Drosophila melanogaster: one gene and its partner. The protein of the gene in region 1 purifies or fractionates together with the protein of each later gene. This does not show direct contact. Each region holds a gene or a part of one and is shown in the gene's direction. Other genes may lie near its edges.

Evidence for each region.
Region 2: the proteins of Dek (region 1) and His3.3B purify together in Drosophila melanogaster (affinity purification with western blotting, with the first as the bait; one study listed by BioGRID). This does not show direct contact.

What each region holds. Positions count from the first base shown.
Region 1 is NT_033778.4:16,854,691-16,863,862, forward strand, and holds Dek (Dek), read left to right. Parts: upstream 1-1,951; 5' UTR 1,952-2,094; coding exon 2,095-2,362; intron 2,363-2,722; exon of another isoform or gene 2,723-2,888; intron 2,889-2,942; coding exon 2,943-3,424; intron 3,425-3,490; coding exon 3,491-3,911; intron 3,912-3,973; coding exon 3,974-4,074; intron 4,075-4,136; coding exon 4,137-4,310; intron 4,311-4,370; coding exon 4,371-4,559; intron 4,560-4,622; coding exon 4,623-4,707; intron 4,708-4,762; coding exon 4,763-4,884; coding exon of another isoform or gene 4,885-4,899; intron 4,900-4,942; coding exon 4,943-5,095; intron 5,096-5,159; coding exon 5,160-5,174; 3' UTR 5,175-5,580; downstream 5,581-9,172. Other genes in the region: Fen1 (flap endonuclease 1), read right to left, coding at 1-504, 567-648.
Region 2 is NC_004354.4:9,152,023-9,158,220, reverse strand, and holds His3.3B (histone H3.3B), read left to right. Parts: upstream 1-1,551; 5' UTR 1,552-1,641; intron 1,642-2,607; exon of another isoform or gene 2,608-2,817; intron 2,818-3,208; exon of another isoform or gene 3,209-3,436; intron 3,437-3,535; 5' UTR 3,536-3,559; coding exon 3,560-3,841; intron 3,842-3,980; coding exon 3,981-4,109; 3' UTR 4,110-5,698; downstream 5,699-6,198. Other genes in the region: Ost48 (oligosaccharyltransferase 48kD subunit), read left to right, coding at 6-1,213.

The sequences.
Region 1 (9,172 bases):
AGGTAAGGTATCTCAACAGTTTTGTAGATCCGAATGTGAGGGCATCCATATCCTCCGTGGCGGTGGCATAAACCTTTCCAGCTTTCACCAGAGCGGCACACTGGGCCTCCGCTTCGCACGGTGCATCAACATAGGGCACACCCATTAGTGTGAGCAGTTCCTTGGCCTCTTTGGCGTGCTCCTTCGTTACCCGGACCAATCGGCGATTAAACTTTTCGATACCGGCATCATCTCCCGCATCGGTGGCCGCCTTCAGTGCCTTCTCCGCTTCCTCCCGCCGCTCGGCGCGCTTCGCCAGCTCACCGGACTTGAGATCTGGTGGCTTTCCGTCGAAGACATATACCGGCTTGATTCCGTTGTCCAGCAATCGGATGGTGCGGTAGAACATGCCCATTAAGTGGGACGTGGGATCACCATTTACGGTGGCCAACTGGGCGCCTTCGGAGCGCACGGCGATGAGGAACTGGTACAGGCACATACTAGCATCGATTGCTACCTTGCGACCTTTGAAATGTGAGCATACTATTAAAGTTTTGTTTATATTTAGCAAATAGAACCGGACTCACCGAAAAAATGCTTCATCTCACTTTCGCGAATCGCCTGTGGCGCCAGATCGGCAATGAGCTTAGATAAGCCCAAAATTCCCATGGCGATTTTATTTTAACTTAACACTTGTAATTAATTAAATATATGATTATATTAAGTATAGCCAGGGGTTTATCAAATTGTTTTGTTTGTGAAAACACGCCGCGCGCTTTTTTGCCAACAAGAGTGACCGCCTTTTCAATACATAAATACCAGAACGTCAAAAAATTTTTTATTCGCTAAATTGTTAGTTTTTACATATTTATTTCATTTTCTTTCGAATATTTTTATGAACGTATATAAATATTAACATTTAGATCAGCGTGACTGATGAATTAAAATATGACTACCGGTCTGCAAAATATTCCAAAATTAGATGGTTTTGGTTAACAAATCATTTAAAAAGCAAGTGTCTCCTTCAAATATGTTTTTTATGCATATATATATATAATTTAGTCCGATTCATTAAAAAGCAAAATATTTCAGAAATATATAGGACTGGTTAATACCAGTCATTTTGTTTAAAAAGAAAGTATTTCTTTCGACTATTATAATATACGTATATAAATATTTTTTTATTTAGATCAGTGTTACTAATACATTAGAATAATATTATCGTTAATCAAAATATACCAGAATTAAATAGTTTTCTTTTGAATATTTTTATTGGGGTATATAAATATTGTATTCAGATCAGACTAACATATGAATTATAATATAATTACAGGTAAGCAATGTGGTTAGCTTAGGATAATAGCGATAGAGTTGACTGGACACTATCAAGAAAGAATTTAAATGCATTTTAAAATAAAGAATCATAAAATGGTATTAACAACTGAACATGTATACCAACTTAATTCCCTTGTAAAAAGCCCGCCAAAAGTGAGCAACGAAAAGGGCACCCATTATTTTGCCGGGTATTTTTTAGTGCTTGTCGGCTGCAATACTATCGATTGTGACACCTCTTCTAGTGAGCAGATTGAATGTGTGTCGGCTGACGGAAAAACAGAAAAGCCATTAGAAATATGGTATGTAAAAAGGTGAAAAATGTGGGAAAAAGCGCCGGAAAGTGTGTGCCAGCGAGGTGAAATGAAAACGGCGGGATTGCTAACGTATTTTGTGTGTAAATAGAGCGCAACAAATTATCCGCGAGGCTAACTGCCCGACTATCGGTTCTCTCCCGCCGTTCGGTTGTGTGTATAAACATGGCGTCGTTGTGGCTCGAGATGCCGATGCGAGTGGGTGCGAGCGGGATGACTAGTGTGTGTGTGTGCGCCTCATAGATTTGCAATGTTGTTTTTTCTATCGCCTCTCTCATTTCTTGCTCCCTCTCTCACTCGCTTGCTCGCTCGGCGAAGAAGACACGCATACACAAACTCGCAATCGCCGAAGACCTAACTCACACTCAAATTGCGATTCGATTAAAAAAGAAATAGGCGCACCGAAACCCATCGTATTGGCCGCCAAAAAATTAGCAAGTGTAATCCAATTCTGACTTTGTATCTTTCCATGCCATCGCCGCACGAAAAGGATGCTAACAAAGCGGCAGAAACGGCAGCCAAAGAAAATGCCGCCGATAAGGTAAGCGATGTGGAAAATGCATCGGTTACTGCGGGGGTGGCGAAAGCCGTGGGGGCACAGCCGGAAAGGGGCTCCAAAGATGCAGCCGAATCCCCCGCCGCTGTCGACGCCTCTGCCTCTGCCGCCACTGATGACGTCGCTGATAAAAAAGCCAAAGGAGACTCAACGGCTGTTTCAAATACCGAATCGGATGCAGGTAAATAAAAAATTAAAAGGCAAAGCCAGGCGAACACACAATCTAACTAACTGTGTGTGTGAAGAACGAGAGAGAAAAACAAAAATCAAAGTGAATTTACCGCGCATTTTAAAAAACGCGCCGAACTATTTCGCTCTCTCTTCGGGAAAGTTCTTTTCCTCTCTCGTCCTCTTGTTCGCTTTGGTCTACTTATTGGGAGAGTTCCGATGTGGCGCTGCGGTCTAAAGCGTCGCTCCTTGTGTCTCTCTTGTTTACCGCGCTATGCTGATGTTGGCATGTGGTTCGATCCCCCTCCGTGTCGATGTTTACAAAACCATTATTAGAGTTTGATGATTGAGTTCTCTTAACTTTCCTTCCTCCTTCCTTCCTTGGCTTTTGTTCATGCTAAATCCTTTAAATGGGTTCTGCGTAGTTTAATGCCGAGGTACAGCAAAACTTCAATATTCATGTTCCCTTGCGCTCCCAAACGAAATTAGCATTGGACGTCCCAAGGTTGAAGACATTTTATTATTTTAACATCTTTTTTATTTTATTACATTTGAACTCTTACAAATAATAATAATTACAATTAATATTATAGCTGCAGCGGACAAAAAGGAGAAATCCCCCTCGCCGGTAATAAAGAAGTCCAACAATAAGGATGCTAAAAAGGAGGACAACTCCGAAAAGGACGAGGAGAACTCGGAAGACGGCGATGAGCCAGAAGATGAGGCTGATGAGAAAGCTAGCGATGAAGAGAGCGAGAAGAAGAAACCGAAATTAGATGCAGAGGACAAGATAAAGGATGCCACTGATGAGTCCAAGCCAAAATCGGGAGCCGATAAGCCCAAGAAACCTGAGCCCAAGGCCAAGAATGGCAAGGTGGCTAAGGAGGAGGACGACGACGAAGAGGACGAGGATGATGAGGATGCCGAAGATGACGATGGAGACGAGAACGATGGCCTGGACAAGAACAACGAGGTGGCCGAGGATGATGAGAATGTCGTCGCTCTCGCCGAGATTGATCGCATTAATGAGAATATCAACAAGACTCGTGTAGATGGTCTGCAAACATTGCATGCAGTAAGTTAGCTGAGAAACATTTTTGCCAACAACTTGTCAAAAACTAATTTCACACCTCATTTATAGATCTGCTTTGGCGCCCAAGGCAAGAACAATGTGGTCAAGAAGAACTTGCGATCCTTTGCCGGTTTCGAGTTTGCCAAGGATTCAGCGGAGTACAACAAAAAGCTGGAGGCCATCAAAAAGGTGGATAATAAGGGCCTGCGCAGCATCTGCGAGATCCTTACCCTCGATCGCAAGGGCAGCAAGAACGAGACTGTCCTTCGAGTGCTCAAATTCCTAATGGAACCGGACGAGTCGCTTTGCTTGGAGCAGGGTGATGAGGAGGAGGAGGAAGATGCCGAGGACGAGGATCTGGATGAAGATGAGGAGGACCCGCCCAGTGAAGAGGACAAGAAGCGCAAGAGCGGAAAGTCTAGCGGCGGCGCTGGCAGAGGCTCTGCACGCAATTCCACCGGACGTCCAAGGCGCGCGACGGCAGGAAAGAGTATGCTCATCTAAATCAAAAGTATTGTATATATCTAAACATGTTTACGTTTTAAATTTCAGAAATGTCCGCCTATGTAGATTTCTCCAGCTCTGACGATAGCGAGCAGAAAGTTGCAGTTCCCAAAAGGAGACGAAATGATGACTCCGAGTCGGGCTCAGATGTAAGTATCCTTCGCCCAGAAACCATGCGCACAATTTGGCTCATTTGTCGTTTTGCTTATAGTACAATCCTTCTGCCAATTCCGACTCTGACGGTGGTCGTGGTGGTGGTGCTGGTGCAGCAGGTCGCAAAGTCCCAAGCCGCGGTGGACGCGGTCGTCCTGCGCGCAAAAGTCGCAGAAGAAACTCTGATTCCGAGGAAGAAGAGGAATCGGAAGTTTCCGATGCCGATAGTGATGTATGTATTATAAACGTATGACCAAGTGACCTATATAAAAAAAAATAACTAAATCCCCAGGTCCCAAAACGTAAACGTGGTTCCGTGGGTAAACGTGGACGACCGGCAGCTCCTGCGTCAGCTGGACGAAGGGGTAGAGGACGAGGTGCAGCTTCCCGCAAGCGTAAAGATTCAGATAGCGAAGATGAGGAGGTATCCGAGGATGAAGAGGAGGAGGATGTCTCCGATTTTGCCAGCGATCAAAGCGAAGTATGTAAATTTAATTTAATATCGAGCATTTGGTGTTTTATCAAGTATATGCCAATTTTTCAGGAGGAACGTCCCAAAAAGAGCAAGAAGCCCATTACGCCTGCGAAAAATAGCAAAGCTAACAACAAGTCAAAACCAGCTGGAAAGGGTATGTTAAAAGTAATATGAAAACCGTATGAAATAACAATTAATGTAATCCGCAGCCGATAGTCGATCGAAAAAATCAAAGAAGGAATCGTCCGAGGAAGATGATGATGTCGATGACAAAGATGAATCCGACGAGGATGAGCCACTAACCAAAAAGGGCAAACAGGCATTCCCAACGGTTGGTAGCCAGTAATCGCAATCGTAATGTGTTATCCTCATCGAACGTCTATTTGCAGGATGAACAAATACGCGGATATGTCAAAGAGATTCTGGATAAAGCCAATCTTGAGGAGATTACGATGAAAACCGTGTGCAAACAAGTTTATGCAAAATATCCAGACTTTGACCTAACAGACAAGAAAGACTTCATCAAGGCGACAGTGAAAGCGGTAAGTTACAAGCATATTTATAATTTCTGTTTTACTGAAACTCAATTTATTTCCCAATTCTTAGTTAATTGCGACATAAAACGACGCGTTGACAAGTCCACTTTAAAGTCGAAGAAGGGTCCAGGCTCTGTACACATACAACACAAAACAGGCGATAGCAAAGTCAGGACGTTGTACGCCGATGCAGAAAGAAGTTGGGCATGGTTCGCGAAATGTAACTCCAAGTAGTTGTCTCCTATAAGTATATGATTTGTACTCCTATCCTAAAAGCTATCTGCAGTTCACCTTAATCCTAACGTCAGCGGCAGTCGACTATCCATTCTTATATATATTCATCTGTATATATAACTTTTTATTTGTCCAACCGTGCGCACGCATGCACATCATTTTCTATTTTCCTGAAAGTATGTGCAAACGACAGCTCTGCGAAGTGTGTAAATTAAGCAAAGAGAAACTTGTAAAAATCCGATAAAAAAGAAACACCTAAACTGTAGTGCATTTTGATTTGACGTTTAACAAGAAAAGATGTATTTAACCTTAAGGCACAAGAAATAATAAACAAAAAGCAAAATTAAAAATTTGTAAAAGCGTGAAATATTGAAATTTCACACACTGGCAGCAGTACAAAAACAAACGAAAGTGGAAAACCATTTTAAATTTACACGATTACAAAAAGTTTTTGGCTAATGTAATAAAAGAATGCATTATTTGGGCGAGTAATTTTAAGGCACACTTGAGCGGAGCTCCTGATACAAATGTTTAACTGCTGTTCCCAAAATATATCCTTGAAACCCATTTTGATTTTGATGTCTCTATCGCATCCCAACTCCTGCTGTTCACCACAAATGCTCGGGCCCAGTGTGATTGAAGATAGGAAGGTTTCTCGGCTTATTAACTAGAGACAAGCTCACAACAAATTGTGAGTAAAAAATAAACAAACAGAAGATTGAATGTGGAATGAGGAAGGGAATAAAGTTAAATATTATAAATATTAGATATTTACAAGGTAATAATAGATGTATGTTAATTTTAAAAGAGCAAATGAATAGAAAAAACCGAATATTTAAACGTTTAATTGCCAGCAAGAGAAAAGTAAAAGAACAAAATCACAGTCGCATCTCAATGGAAGTTTTCCCGTAGTAAACTCGTAAATGAATATCAAAAACAACACTAATAAAGCTCCACTAAATTAGTTTAGTCCCAGAAATTGGCAACTAAGCTATATACTCTTGTGCATTCTGTTCTGTTTTAATTTCAAATGTTCGCTGAAAAATGCTAAAAGGAATGCAGTGTATCAGTAATAAAGTGCTAAAAATTAAGAGAAACCTTATCGATTTTCTAAATGGGTTGGAATTTCTATAGTGGATAAAAATCCCAGTGGCGGAACAAATCTCTTTTTTCTAAAAAAAAAAATGTTCTTTTTTAAATAGTCCATATTAATTCTGACTTAATTTGAAGGAAAAAAATGCTTTATTTTGGGTTGTAGCATGGGAAAAGTTTATTTCGAATTTAAAAATGTTCAATTGGGACATTTTCTACAATTGAATTTAACAATTATCTAAACGATTTAAGAAAATAATTAAACTAATTTCTGTCGGGGATTTACCGGGTGGTAATTGAAAGCTGTCGAGTGGACAAAACGCTGAAACATACAGATAGTCAGTTATGATTCAGATATAATATATATATTTATATATTGTCAAAAATGGTTAATATATGTTTATAAAAAAACAATGTAAATATCAATTTCGGGACAAAAATACATATATCAATGAGAAGTGTGGATAATACGGGAGAAGGAATCAACTTTTCTCTGAATTGTTCCTGCAAATAGATCAAAGCACGTAATTTAAATGAAACGAATGGAAATGTATGCAGAAATGTAAATTTCAAAAATATCATTTGATTGCAAAATAAACGGCTTGACATTGGACCCAAAAGAAATGCTCAACGAAATGGGTTATTGAACGTTCTACATTTAATATTTGGTTGGGTCATACTTACCTTGGTCGATATAAGATACGCAGGATGATATCCTTGAAAACCTTTGCTAGAATGAAAAAAGAAAATCGACTTCCCAAAAACATTGAAAATTGGGTTCTTCTCTTTCAAACTGCCATATTATTCGAAAAATTTCCTAATTCTAGACCTGAATCGCTCTTATTATACGAAATATATTCAATATATTAAAGTACACAATATGGAATAGTATAAATTAGAGATTGGCTTGGGAGCCAATGTAAACCGCTTATAGAGCAAGCAAATGATACCTTTAAACGATATTTTACAAATATGTATACAGCACAGAATTTATCAATAGGGAGCACTGTTCGGGAAATCAAATATCGTTCGTTTTGCTAGGCAATTATTGAGAAATACGTATATAAATATATGCATATATATAGTCAATTGTCAAGGAATAGTATGTAGTATAAAGAATATTCAGGATAATCAGTTATGGATATAATATATGTGCAGTTTGATATTAAAATTGTACTCCAATGTGGTTCCAAGCATACCCAATAATGTGGCAATCAATCGACCATCCCTGGGAAAAGTCAAAAGCCCGTCCCGATCCCCAAGATCTCTTCCACGAGCAAGAACGACCAGAACCTCTGAAAATACGCTCAATAAACGATTTTCATATGTGGCATAAACAATCAGCTGGATAAATAAATCAAGAGCGATACAGTCGAGCCCCGACTATCTGATACCCGTTACTATTCATTAAAATTTTGTTTTAGGATTGGTTTAGTAACGGGTATAAATGTAATTAATAGAAACGCAATAGGACACACAGCACCGAAATGCTCCGTGCTGGTAATATATGTATGTGAATATATATTATATGGTATATTAAATGTTTATTCAATGCTTTGCCGGCCGGCCGCAGGACGGAGTTCAGGATTTGGATGGTAGTCCCGAACTGATCCCGCGTGGCCGAACAACGGTTACAATATGGTTGATCTGCTGTTGCAACAATCAGATATTTGGGGAGACGTAAAACTTAGATTATATATCGGTATTAAGACTAAATTATGGTAGACCTACATTCATTGGGTAAGTTTCATTGTTTCAATTGCAATATGTTTAATAGACAGTAATAACAACACACAATCTTACCAAGTTTGACACTTTTACAATATATGTATGGTTCGTATTTCATCGTGTTTTTTTTTGTTTTCGTTATTTGTTATAGTGTGAAAAAGTTTTGGGGTTTGATTTCGTATTTCTGCTATTAACTGGTCTGAAGAGCGTCCTCTGAAAATAACATACTTTATGTTTGCATTTGGTGAAATAGATATTAAAACAAGCATGATTATCCTGCGCGTTCGTTTAAAGGTAAATATTGCAAGCGTATTCAAACCAGGTTTATAATTTAAAAAAATATACAATTATAGAGCAGGAAATAATTTTAAACTCAGTTCAGTTTCACCTTAGTGCTACAAAAATGATTTCATAGATTCTCCAGAACTGAAAGATGAAAATATTGTTATGCAAGATGTTAAATATCAATTAAGGAAGATAACCTTTTGTACCTGGCCCTCACTTGAATCAAATTTAATAAAAAGGTTCGATCAAATCTTTTAAATCTTACCAGATCAGCAGACATATGTATATATGATCAAGTGTAAATGTCGATCATATATAGTTCAAATGGCTTCTAGTACAACTAAGCTAAGCTAAGTACGTGAAAATGAGTTCGTGTATATAAAACGTTCGATTTGTTTATTGCTACCATTAAAGTTGAGAATTTTAACAAAGGGTGTCTTTAATTACTGAACGCCCATTGCAGATTGGCTGCCTGAATTGACGGTGAAAGAACCTATATATGCGATGTATATATATATATATATATATATGACTATATATATGCAGATGTGTATAAAAATGAACAAAACACCCAAAACGGATTCAATTAGCGTCTCTTAGTATGTCTGTGCAAGTGGTGATCATGAACAGCAAGAGCATTATGTTTCAATCGGTCGGAATTATGTATAATTATTAGGTAAAAGTAGACTTAGGATCTCGGGATAATCTCTTACAAGCTATGGTGAAATTATATGCAGTATCCAA
Region 2 (6,198 bases), on another chromosome or scaffold:
TACAGATCGCGGATTTAAGCTCACCTACAAACTGGCGGATGACTCCAGCCTGCTGCTGTCCAAATACGGTGAATATCTGTACAAGAACGTCATCATATTCGCACCAAGTGTCGAGGAATTCGGCGGCGATGTGAGCGTGGAGCGTTTGGCCCAGTTCGTCGACGATGGCGGCAATGTTCTGGTGGCGGGCAGCGAGAAATCCGGCGACGCGCTAAGGGAATTCGCCTCCGAGTGCGGCTTCGAGCTGGACGAGGAGAATGCGGCGGTCATTGACCATCTGCACTACGATGTTAGCGATGCTGGCGAGCACACAACCATCCTGACCTCCGCCAAGAATCTTATACAGGCCGACACCATTGTGGGCAAGGCCAACAGGCAGGCGGATGCCGCACCGCTGCTCTATCGCGGTACAGGACTGATTGCCGACAAGGAGAACCCGCTGGTACTCAAGCTGCTGACCGCCGAGAGCACCGCCTATAGCTACAATCCCGAGGCAAGTGTCTCCGACTATCCGCATGCCGTTGGCCGAGGCACGCTGCTAATCGCCGCCCTGCAGGCGAGGAACAATGCCCGCGTAGTGTTCTCCGGCTCGCTGCTCTTCTTCTCTGACGAGAGCTTCACAACGGCCGTGCAGTACGCACAGAGCGGTGTGTTCCACAAGCTGGCCGGTAATCGCGACGTGGCCGAGTCCATTAGCAAGTGGGTATTTGGAGAGACTGGCCGCTTGCGCGTGGCATCCGTGCAACATCACAAGGAGGGCGAGCTGCTGCCACCGGATCAGGCGTACACCATCACCGATCCGGTCGTCTACACCATCGGCATCGAGGAGCTGGTGCAGGGCGAGTGGCGCGCCTTTAAGGCCAGCGACATTCAACTGGAGTTCGTGCGCATCGATCCCTTCGTCCGCACCTATCTGAAGCAAACGAACACGGGCGCCTACCAGGCCAAATTCAAGATACCCGACGTCTACGGCGTTTATCAGTTCAAGGTGGACTACAATCGCGTGGGCTACACGCATCTGTACAGCACCACCCAGGTGTCGGTGCGTCCGCTGGAGCACACACAGTACGAGCGCTTTATCCCGAGCGCATTCCCCTACTACACCAGCGCCTTCTCAATGATGATCGGCGTGTTTGTCTTCTCATTCGTGTTCCTTCACTTCAAGGATGAGCCCGTGGGCAGGGCCGCCAAGGAGGACAAGAAGTCGCAGTAGTATGCACGTTCGTTCAACTCAAATGTAACACACAATGCACTAAAATAAAGTTCTCTGCAGAGAGAAACCCACAATCCATAAAAGAACTTGGCTTTTTTTTTGCTTAATGAAGCTTATATTTCATTAAAATTAGCAGAGTCCAACCCATTAAAACATATTCATTTTTAATCTTAGGTTGGAGTTAAAAAAATTTTAAAAAGTTATAAAAATGTAATTAGCAAAGAACAGAACCAAACTATTTGGCGGGCATGGTCTTGTCAGACAATCGAGTGTAATCGAATACAATCGAAGTAGGCCTTCGCCTACTAGGCTACCATCTCTAGATCTCAACGAAACGAAATCATTGTGAAAATTTCTCTCGTCCGAATTTGTTCGTCTCGTGTTGAAAGTGACAAATTGTGAAGAATAACTTTATTCCGTGTTTAACGGTGAGTTTTTTTTTATTGCTAAATACTTATAATACTAAGTGTGGTTCTTAAAACGCACGTGCTTGTGGCCGCTGAATATGTGCGTGTGTGCACTGTTTTCCAAATTTTTTTTTCGTTGTGAATCGCCTGAGTTTATGTTTTGCCGTTTTTGGGGCTCCGCCGGCCGTCCAGCGGAGCCCTATTTTTCACCGCACACACACAGGCGCATTCTCGCTGGTGGATACATACACAAATACACGAAGATGTGAGAGGTCTCGTATTCGCACGACTGTTGGTTGCATTGTTGTTTTAGTTGTAATGGTGAGGTGCGCTGCTTTTTTTTTTTTTCCAAAATGGCCGCCAAGCAGGAGAATAGCAAGAAATAAAAAAGTTGCAGTCGTTGATGAAATTGGCAAAAAGAAAATTAAAAAAATAAATAAAAACGATTTGCCAATGTGCGAAAACTGGCGCCAAAAAGTATGAGTAATCGTATTTATGCTGGTTGGCATAAACATATAAAAGTTATTTATTTATTTCTTAAGTGGCACGCGCGTTGATGTGTGTGTATACTAAACACGCACATTGGTTAACAAATGCAAATGTGCATGGCTGCGCTTGTCATGCGCAGTGTGTGCCATCTCTCTTTCCCACCGCCAGCTTTTCCCGTATGTTATTGCATAATTGCTTTTTATTTTCTTTTTCCTTTGGCATTCTCTTTTGTGAGGATGTGCAGCTGTCACATCTACACGCACACACATGCTGTTTAGCGGAGAAACGACGCAATTAACTGCTGGCACACCTTTCTTCTCTTTCTAACGCGAACGTGCCCCTATAGGCATCTCCCTTCGACTTGCCGCCTTTCAATGCGCGCCAAGTTTTTACCGCTTGATTTTCCTTCCTTTTGTTTATGTTTACTCTTTTGGCGCTACCAGTCGAAGAATTTTTTTCGTTTTCTTTGGCTTCCTTTTATTTGATATTTTCCTCTTGCCTGCACAAGTAATTATAAATTGAAAACTACAACTCATTACTTCAGCGTGATTGATTCCGCATAAAGCGCGAAAAAAACTCAAGAGGCTGTACATAAAAAGAAGGGGAACACAAAAAACGGCGACTCACGATGTTTGCCCGCGAAGAAAAGAAATGAGATTTTCAAGTGGTCCTCCATCGTGGAACAACTACACAGCGAGAAAAGCAGATGTAATATATCTATACCACCAATTGAGAATTAGATGGTATTCCTATTGCTATTTAGAACGGATAAATTAGGGTTTTTTTATGGACCACCTTTATGAATTATCAGAAATGTTTCTTAAGTTTTTTTAATTATAAGTAATGTGAAAACTTTAGAATCATCTTAGCTAAGCTTCATTTGCACACCAATATAAATATGGATCACACTATTATTTTTCTGAGTGTTTTGCTGCCGAGGCACGATTTATTCCTTTGCCACTGAAGTGGAAGTTTCTCGAGTGCCTCGTTCCCAGAAGATGGGAAAATATTTGAAATGGGGGGCAAGAAGGAAAAGCAGGCAGCTGCCTCAAAAAAATTTCACCTTCAACCCTCGTTATCGTTATGACCACGAACCAAAGTTCCTCGTCAGTTGGCCGCCAGCGCTTCGGCGCTGTGCATCGGTCCAAACTTTGGCTCCCAGCGATATCCATCCGTGTATATCCGTCAAGAGTCCACGACACAGCACAATCGTATCCTGGCCAATTGCATCGTGCACTGCGCCTGTGCTGGACGAATAGTTTAGAGTTTGTGCCCAGTTCATCGAGTTGTCTTTCTCATCTGGCGAGGATCAGCGTGTTTATTTTGGGTACCAACCAAACAATGATTGTAGAAGTGTTTATTTAATCTGTGTCAATCTGGAACGCGCAAAATCTAACATTTGCATTTCCCATTCTCTTAATTGCAGTTTAAAAAAAAAAGCTAAGAAAACATGGCTCGTACTAAGCAGACTGCCCGTAAGTCGACCGGAGGAAAGGCTCCTCGTAAGCAGCTAGCCACCAAGGCTGCCCGTAAATCGGCGCCATCCACCGGCGGAGTGAAGAAGCCCCATCGTTATCGTCCCGGAACTGTGGCTCTTCGTGAGATCCGTCGTTACCAGAAGTCGACCGAGTTGCTCATCCGCAAGCTGCCCTTCCAGCGTCTGGTTCGTGAAATCGCTCAGGATTTCAAGACCGATCTGCGTTTCCAGTCGGCTGCCATCGGTGCCTTGCAGGTGAGAATTATGCTCCAAAGAATCAGAGTGGCTTAACTTAACTAAAAATGACAGGATTCATGGGATTATGAAGGGGGGGCTACTAATATCTAAAAGGAACTTGGTTATCCAACTCATATGAATTTCTCTTGACTTACAGGAAGCATCTGAGGCGTACCTGGTGGGTCTCTTCGAGGACACCAACTTGTGCGCTATCCACGCCAAGCGCGTGACAATCATGCCTAAGGACATCCAGTTGGCGCGCCGCATCCGTGGCGAGCGTGCTTAAGGTGGATCAGCAGGAACGCCAGATTCGATCACTGTCGTCCATTCCCGAACAGTAGACCATTCACGTACCGTTGTAGGAGAGGTGCACGCCAAGGAGCTATACCAGCGACACATTGATCCAATCTATCATTCATATTTACATGTATACATTTATCATCCTTTTGTTGTTCAATCGAATCGTCAGCATGACGTTGTCGATAAGAAAAACACCACACACAAAACAACACACAACATTACTGTAATGCTTAAAAATTATTTTATAACTCTTATTATTACTATTATCAATTAGTTTTTAAGTTTTTTTTCTCGCCTGTGCGTCGTCGGTGTCACCGTGTACGTTGCGCCGTGCTCCTTCTTCTCCAAATCCGGGTCCACCTCTTCGTTTTGGAAGGAGGGAATACCACCGGGCGGCCGTTGTCGCCTGTCCGCCTGCAACATCCGCCACCAACCACTCCAACAACTGTCCAGCTGGCGGGCTTCGGTTTCCAGGTAATCCGTGATCTTTAAGGCGCCTGCCTCGCCTTTATCGCTTCGATCGAGGAGAGGTTCACCATCTGGCTGCCGGGATGTGCGGAGCCTGGAGATCGGGGCCAATCTAACGTCGGCTGGACGTGGCAAGGCGGACAGACGGTTGCGGACCGCCTGGCGGTGATTCCCGGATCTCTGGATGGGCGGCGAGGGCATGGCCGTCTGGCGATGCCACTGACGGCACGCGGCTTTTATGAAGATAATATCCATATATAACACCGAAGACCGAATCGAGTACACTTAACTTTACACTTACGTATATGCATATATATACATAAATACATATATATATAAATATATATATATATATAAATATAAATATAAACCTATGCGGAAGGAAAAGAACTAGATATTAATACTCTTTCTTCTGTTCACTTTTCGTTACTGCAAATCATAATCAGAGCATTATATATATATATATATAGAAGTTATATATATATATATACACATAACGAAGGGATGGGCGTGACAGAGTTAGTTGATTAAATAAGATTTTAGATTTACATGCATTTTATACGTTTAGGCGGACGATAGAAGATGATTCTTCTTCGGGAGATGAAAAAAAGATATAAAGATGATTCAGCAATCAGATTAACTTACACATCTATAGATTTGGAAGAGCATCGAATAAAAATAACCAAGACAGAAATCACATAACAATACAAAATAAAAGCAAAAGCGCCGAGCAGAGCATTGAATATTTCCCAATATTTATATGTAGTTTGAAACACATGCAAAATAATCAATTGTAAACGCCCATAAAACATGCATATATATATATATAAATATACATATAGCTGTAAATTGGTGTCGATAACTAGTTTCACATTGAACATTTAAACAAATCGGACTAAATATGTGTCTATTCGTATCGTCGTAGCTTACAAGAACCAATATGAAAACAGAAAACAAAAAACGAATCCCCCACAAAACACAAAAACAATTTACAACAACAAATCAGTGACAGCAACAGCAAAAATAACTGGAAACATCAGCAAAAAAAAAAAAGAAAATAAAAAATAAACGGTTTTTTCTATAGAAGAAACCAAAAAAACCCAACACCAACGAATTGTATTTTCTGCGAAAGCGAGACGGGAATAGTGTGTACGAGCGGGCGGGATAGGTGGCGATGGTACAGTTGACTCCAAAAATCGAAACCAAACGTCATTTGCTTTGTTTACGTGTGTTAATCTCGGTGCGTGCGTGTGTATGTGTGTTACTCTTGCTCGTTTCTGTGTGTGCAAGTTTGGCTGGCTGCAGCTGTATGTGTGTGGGTGGCTTTGGCGCTGCCCCCTTTTTTTTGTTTGTCTTTGATTTGCGTTTTCAAGGCTGCTATTAACTGGCGCCACCTAGCGGTGGTTCTGTGCCACAGGCGCCCAATAAGTGTTAATAAACCCCTTTGTTCGTAAGCTAAGACGCCCAATAGGGGTTAAGGGCTTATCTTTGTAATTAAATGTTGATATTTATAATAATGTACATTGAAGCAATAATTTATTTAATTTAAGTTACCAATGTTTTCCATCTTTTTGTCAGTGTAAATATCGTTATAACTCAAGCATACC